2 linked regions of the Sus scrofa genome follow. The protein of the gene in region 1 purifies or fractionates together with the protein of each later gene. This does not show direct contact. Links are inferred from orthologs where the notes say so. Each region holds a gene or a part of one and is shown on either strand. Other genes may lie near its edges.

Region 1 (3,648 bases):
ATTCAAAAAGTCAAAATCGCAGACTTTCTAAAAATAAATTCCCGTTAGAGCCCACATTAACACACAGTGGCCTCTCCTGAAAGAAGTCTGTGGGGAGTTCTCTTACGGCTCAGCAGGTTAAGGATCCGACCTTGTCACTGCAGTGGTTTGGGTCACTGCTGTGGCGCGGGTTCGATCCCTGGCCTGGGAACTGTGGCCTGCCGTGGGTGCAGCCAAGGCGGGGAGAGTCTTCAGAACCCCAGGCACGTGTGGTGTGTGGGGCCCATGTGGCGGGGCCCTGTCCCCAGAACACCCATCGTACCCGCCTCAAGGTCTGGTGCCACCTGTTTGCACCTCCAGATGCCTGCCCACCCCGAACGCGGGCTGCACAACCTCTGCACAGACGTGGGGGGCTCACTTCCACTGTGGAGCCCAACACTTTCGAAGGCTCTGGAACTGCAGCTCAACCTTCTGAGGGCGCCCTTGGCTAAAAACCGCCTAGGGCCTTTATTAGGAAAAGGTGACGCTTCGAGAAGGGAATTTTAGTTCAGCGGGTGTCATGTGCGACTACAGCTGTGAACTGCTCGCCGACAGCGCGGGTGCTGCTCTCCGAGACGGAGCCGGGGAAGGATGTGGGCCTGGCTGTGCGGCAGGCCCAGCGGGGGGGAAGGGGGGGCCCTACCTGCATGCTGAGCACCGTCAGGTTGGTGAGCGCGTCGAGGTTCTGAAGTTTTGTGATCTTGTTTTTCCCCAAAAACAGACTCTCCAGGTTAGTTAACGTGTCGACATTTTCAATTGCCTGTGAAAGTCAGGACGGGGCACAGTGAGGCACCAGAGAAGGAAGGGCCCTGGGCGAGGGGACAGCGCTCCCTGGACCCCAGCCCTGGGTGTCGGCGAGGCACGCCCCACCCCGGCCGCGGAAGGTGCCCAGGGTCACCTGGCGTGAAGGGACAGCGTGAGGGAGAGAGGCCCGGGGCGGGGGGCGCCCTCCCCCTTGGGCTCCCTCACAGAGCTCAGGTTCCGGGGGACAGTCGGCGGGCCGCCCACGCCCCCCGGTTCTACAACTCTGAGCTGACACGTGTTTCGTTCCTCTACGCGGGGCTCCCTGAAACGGGCTCCCTTCTGCCGGCAGAGGCAGAGGCCCCCTCCCGGTGGAGCTGGCAGACGCAGGGCCGACAGTCCTGTGAGCCCCCAGGACGCCCCCCCAGGCCCATCCCAGCGGCTCCGAATCAGCGGGCAGACCACTCCATCTGCTTCTATGTCCCGGACCGTCTGCCCAGGCCTGGCAGCCCCACTCTGTCCAGTGTCCCCCTCAGAGGGCAGGCAGAGCCCGATCTAGACGCTGGGGCATCAGCTAGGGCTGCCCCGGGGCCTGACCCAGGGCGCACAGGGGTCCGAGTAGGACGGCCACCGTGTGCGAGCAGCCGGCTCCATCCTGCGGCCCTGGCGTGGGGCAGGGTCACGGCCGCCACCCCGGCTGTGCTTGGCACTCGGCTCTCAGAGGCTCAGCAGAAAACCAGGCGCGGCGCACGCAGAAGCAGAGCACGGGCCTTGGGCGGAGCGCGGCTGGGCGCTTTGCTGCGAGCTCTGTCCCGAGGCGGGTGGAGGGCGAGTGAAGTCCACGTGCAGAGGAAAGGCTGGACCCTGCACCGGCCGCTTTCTTATCAACACTGACCTCTGGGCGGCGCTTCTTCTCGTGAAAAACCCAGCCAAGCGCACCCCGCACCCACCCTGCCCAGGCAGGGCCGCCCTCGCGAAGGGACCGGCCGCCAGGGCGCTGCACCTACCCGGATGCGGTTGGATCCCAGCTCCAGCATCTGCAGTTGACGTAGGCTGCTTAGGTTCTCAATTTTATTTATCTTGTTGTTCACCAGGAAGAGTTTCTTCAACCGCGTCAACTTGTCGACCCCTTCGATGCTTCTCAGCAGATTGAAGGAAATATCAAGAATCCTGGGAACAGGCAAAAGGTTTCGCAGTGGGCACAGGCCCCGGACTCAGGTGGTAACCAACAGACTCTCGTGGCGGCCCAGGAAGGCAGGGGGAGCCGGGGGGCCTCCAGGGACCCCGATGCCTGCTGCCCGGGCTCACAGGACAGTGCTGAGGGAAAAACCATGTCATCCCAGCCGGAAGCCTCGACTCAAGCTGAGGCAGTGGAGAGCCGACGCATCCAGGGAGCGGAGGGCCAGGCAGGCCCCCGAGGCTGAGGGGGGCGCAGGGTATGCGGACCACCCCCCGCAGGGCCCTGGGCCCCTGACTCACTCCAGCTCCGTCAGCGCCTCCAGGTTCTCGATCTTCCGGATCTGGTTGTCGTAAAGGTCCAGCTCGCGAAGGCTCTGCAGCGCCTCCAGGTTCTCAATGCATTTAATTAAATTCTGACGAAGACAGAGAGTCTGGCGGGACAGAAAGGGACAGGTGACATAAGCAACAGGGAGGCCCGGAGACCAGGCCAGGGGGCCCGCCTTTCCTTCCCGTTTGGCGGGAAAGGTGCTGCTCTCGGAGAGGACGGGCAGACGCCGCCCGTGCTCGGAGGCAGCCCCACTCGGTGGGGAGGCGCTGCGGTTTCCCAGCAGAGAAGCCTCCGGGCGCCGAGTTTTGAAACACAGATTGAGTGCAAGAGCGTTAAGGACCAGCGCCTGGTGTGTGTGCTCAGCAGCAGGCAGGCCCCGACCTGAGGCACAGCAGGCGGCGGCAGCAGGTCTGAGTCCCCGCCTCCCGGACTGTTCCAGAAACCCTGCCACGCTCAGGACACGGGGTGCCCGCTGGCAGTGCCTGGGGCAGCCTGGCACCTTCACGAGGACGGTTGCTTGCGCAGAACCAGTTCTGTCCTGGTTTCCGCGGGGCCTTCGGGGGCCGTACTTTGGGGCGTCACAGGATCGCCTCCTGGGGAAGGAGGGGCTCCTCTCACCTTCACTTTCCGCAGCACCTCAAAGCCTTCGATCTTCCCAATGCGGTAGTGATTCAAATCCACATCCTGGAACAAAGAAAACCCGAGCTTGGCGGCCAGCAGGATGTGCTTCCTGGAGCAGGAGCCACAGGGGGGCTGGGGCAGGACTCGAGAGCCAGTGCCATACGGGGTCTGCGGTGGCCGGTGACAGGGACACGGGAGGGGCTGCAAGATGCTCTTGGGCTTCGCTATGCGCCACAGTGGCCTCGTGGGAACCGGCCCTCCACGCCAGGGGAGGTGAGCTGCCTCCCTGCCCGGGCTCTGAGGAGACGCCGCCCATCATGTCACCACTGGTGGCGGCTGCGGGCTGGGGAGGCAGGCTGGCTCCCCCCGCCCCGCCCCCGGACAGTCCATGCCCTGTGCTCTTCCGATGCTGGGGATGCAGGACCCCGCCAGGAACAGTGTCGTCATCGGACACCCATGAGTCACAGGTGCTTCAACTGCTCCCCGGCCCTCGAGGGTTAAATGGAAAGGTGAGGTCGACCACTGGAGGTCACACCAGTAAGAACCCAGGGAAGCTGACGCCACCGGGGGAGGCTCAGAGGGCTTCTAGGGACCTCACTTACTAATCTGGCACCTTTGCGAAAGACACCCTGACGGTCAGAGGGCTGTCACCATGCCCGGAGGCTGGGCTGAGCGGGTAGCATTACCTCTGCGTCTCGGTCCAGGTTAATGGTTTCCATATCCACAGGCGGCTCTTGTCCTTCTGAAAAAGTGAAAAGAAA
Region 2 (3,648 bases), on another chromosome or scaffold:
AACTGGGAGGACCACGGTCAACTGAGCAGAGGAACTGCATTCTTCCTGCAGCTCTGTCATCTACAGACCAGGGCTCGGCCTCTGGAAACCTCTCCGTAGTGTGGATTTAGTTGATCCCACCCCTGGAGAAGGTGTGAGACCCCAAAGTCAAGAAGCCACCACAGGACATCAGCTCTGGCTGTGATAGCCTTTGTGGGTCACCTCAAAGCAAAACACAAAGCTAGCAAGATAGCTTGGGAGGGATGGCCATACCTGACTGAGTTAAAGTCAGACAGCACCTTTCATCCTTTAAATTTTCTCTTAATATTGTGTTCTGTTTGAGATCCAGTATTCGAATGCTGCCTCCAATAGGATGCAGTTAGCAGGAATCCTAGTAGCCTCAGCTAAGGTCCCTGCTACACAATGACTGGTTAGTGAATCTAACCACAGGCTGTGTATGCACACCACTCTGGGTACTTTGGCTGGTGATTACACTTGTCTCAAAAGAGTTGTGTAAGTGGAGAAACAGCTTTGCAAGGGGGACAGGGAGGAAAGGAAGGGGGAAAGGAGGAGGGAGAGAAGGGGCAGGGGAGGGAAAAGGGGGAGGGGGAGGGTAGGAAAAGAGGAGGAGGCAGGGGGAGGAGGAGAGGAAGCTGCAGGGAACTCCCAGGGGGTGGGAGGAGCACCCCAGTCTGGCTGGGGAATAACCAGTTGATGGAACTGGGAGGAGTCATGGTGTGGCTAAGTGACTGGTCTGAAGTTTAAGAGCCTTTGGACTTAGTTTGGAGAAACAAGATATTTGAGAAGGCGTGGTGAGATTATGGAGGCATTGTATGCAAAAAAAGATTAGTCAATTTCTTATACCATAGGCGATCCTGAAAAGTTGCAAGAAGTAAATTTTTTTGTGTGTATCCCATTGTATTGAAACAAAATAAGGGTCTTTTTTTTCCCCAGAATGGAAATCTATGCATTATTTCCTTCTGATGACAAAAATATGAAGGTTTGCTTTTTTTTAATAGACCAAATAGAAATGTATAAAGTAGAATGAAATTGCAGTGGAGTTGACACCCCTGTGTGTTCAGGTCCAAGGCGCCACCCTTTGAGAAACTCACTGTAGAGCTAGGACCCTTTGTGAGGAACCCAGTCACCTTGTCACTCCCCCAGTTTATCTGGTCTGTAGATTTAAATCTGGCTAAATTAGGTTATCAAGAAGAGGTACACCTAAAACCTGGTGACCTTCCAGAATGTACATGAATGTTCTCTCCTGCACCTGGTCTGTTCTCTTGATTCTAGCGAGTTGTCTGAATGTTGCATTGTCCTTTTGTGAAGATGAACGTACATAATGGTGTTTGTTTAGTGCTACTTTTAAAAGACAATGAGAAATTGCATTGTGGTCTAATTTTTATTCTTTTTCCTTTCTCAAGCCTAGCTCTGGCTTGGTTTGGGTTTGGGTGGGTCATTCTCCAAAATCTCAAAAATGGCATTTTCTTTTTAAATAAGTTGTTGGGAGAGAGCCTTTTAATTTCTTCCTGTGCCTTTGTCTCTTTAACTCTGTTCTTAGCCATGAACTTGGTGGTTTGTTGGGCTCTGAGGTAATAGTATGTTTGCTCAGTTGGGAGAAGGCCAAACGTCTGTTAATTTTTTTGTTTCCCTGAGACTGACCTGTAAAAAGTTATGATTTTTTTTTTGATAAAGTATCTTTGGAAATTACAAGATACAGGTTATACAAACAAAGCCTGCCTAAGCCTTCTCCTGAAATGAAAAGCAATACTGTATTTCCTCCAGGCTTTATTCCCAAGCCTGTCCTTGACCTGCATCTCTACCTTTTAACACTACCTGCATTTTGGCTATCTCTCTTTGCAGGTTCATGCACGGCATTTTGGACAGGATGCTTGGTGCCACGAACCCAGAGCCAGTTTGCTGAATTACTGTCCAGGCCCCTTGAGTCTCTGGGAAGGTCTGCAGGTGCCTCCAAGTGCCAGCTCAGGTCGAGTCAGCCCAGGAAGCTGTTTTCAAGGGCTTCTGCCACGGGTGTAAAAGACTCCAGCCCTGCAAAGATGCTGAAACAGATACTGTCCAAGATGTACATAGACCCTGATCTGCTGGCAGAGCTCAGCGAAGAACAGAAACAGATCCTGTTCTTCAAGATGAGGGAGGAGCAGGTCCGCCGATGGAAAGAAAGAGAAGAAGCAATGGAAAAAAAGGAGTCCTTGCCAGTGCAACCCAGGCCAAAGAAAGGTAAGCGGAGCTTGCCTCTCCTGTGAGCTGGCAAGTAGAATGTCCCCTTGCTTGTTTCCTCATTTCACACCAGCCAGAAGCAAGCCAGGCTCGAGGCCTAGTCTGGCAGGTGGACCCTGGGTGATACTGAGATTCTAATAGTGCAGTTTATCAACTTGAAGTCTCTCTCTCTCTCTCTCTCTCTCTCTCTCTCTCTCTCTCTCTCTCTCTCTCTCTCTCTCACACACACACACACACACACACAAACATGCCCAGACCACAATTACTGTGGAGTTCTGAGGCCAAAAGCAGATCTCTTATTTGAAACCAGACTGACCTTAAGCTGCGGGAAAAAGTCACCCAGGGAGGTGGACTTGAGAATGAAGGAAGGTTTCTATTCCCTTTTGGTCACAGACCAAAAGGATTTTGCTACCAGCCTAGAAGTCCTGTGTCAGCCTCTCAATGGTGTCTGCATGTCCTAGACTTTAAGAGATTTTTCTTTGAGTTATCTTTTCGAGGAGGCAGTTCCCTTTTAAAATGCAGATACTGCTAAGAGGAAAAAAGTTGTAATACGAATCTTATTTAGTGTGAGTTAATTTTTCAGATGTAGTTCTTCTTCCTGACCCAAGGAGTCCCAGGTAGTTTGAGAGGGCCTTTGGGGACCATCAGGAGGAATTCCTTGTACGTTAGGTTTAAAGCATATACACACACAGACATGGAATAGCACACATTGCACACACACACGCACACACACACACCCTGCCACCACACACACATTCTGTTATGGATGAATGCCTGTGTCGTTTATTTTATTTTTATTTTTATTTATTTTTATTTTTATTTATTTATTTATTTTTGTCTTTTTGCCTTTTCTAGGGCTGCTCCCGCGGCATATGGAGGTTCCCAGACTAGGGGTCTAATCAGAGCTGTAGATTATGCCAGAGCCACAGCAAGGTGGGATCTGAGCTGCATCTGTGACTTACACCACAGCTCACAGCAACACTGGATCCTTAACCCACTGAGCAAGACCAGGGATCCGACCCGCAACCTCATGGTTCCTAGTAGGATTCGTTAACCACTGTGCCATGATGGGAACTCTGTGTTGTTTATTTTTAAAAAAAGTTTTCAAGGTCACTTACAGAGAGGCATTCAGATCAATTTCTCTTCATTTTTCAGGAAGCCAGGAAAAACCGAATTTGATAAAACCGTTTGGGGTTTCAGAGAGTGTGAAAATGAATCCCACTTGTGTGCTGGTACCTACACAGACACAAAAAGGAAGTCCATTTAGTGACCTTTACCTTCTACTGCCTTTTTATTAGAACCTTTTTTTTTTCAATCAAACTTTATAGTGATATGGAAACAAATACAAATACCTCATTTATTATTATTATCAATATCAGCTATTTTTAAATACCTGTTTTGCAAAGCACTTTGACATGCATTATGTCATCT

What was found. Proteins that work in one complex are often made in the same cells at the same time.
Region 2: the proteins of PPP1R7 (region 1) and SH2 domain-containing protein 4A-like purify together in Homo sapiens (affinity purification with mass spectrometry; 3 studies listed by BioGRID and IntAct, counting the BioPlex papers as one, with this or other methods). This does not show direct contact. The link is inferred for Sus scrofa from reciprocal best matches to the Homo sapiens genes PPP1R7 and SH2D4A.

What each region holds. Positions count from the first base shown.
Region 1 is NC_010457.5:139,924,406-139,928,053, reverse strand, and holds part of PPP1R7 (protein phosphatase 1 regulatory subunit 7), read right to left. Parts: intron 3,630-3,648; coding exon 3,574-3,629; intron 2,951-3,573; coding exon 2,885-2,950; intron 2,370-2,884; coding exon 2,239-2,369; intron 1,930-2,238; coding exon 1,767-1,929; intron 779-1,766; coding exon 662-778; intron 1-661. UniProt on the Homo sapiens protein: Regulatory subunit of protein phosphatase 1.
Region 2 is NW_018084867.1:63,598-67,245, reverse strand, and holds part of SH2 domain-containing protein 4A-like, read left to right. Parts: intron 1-1,842; 5' UTR 1,843-2,036; coding exon 2,037-2,217; intron 2,218-3,648. UniProt on the Homo sapiens protein: Inhibits estrogen-induced cell proliferation by competing with PLCG for binding to ESR1, blocking the effect of estrogen on PLCG and repressing estrogen-induced proliferation. May play a role in T-cell development and function.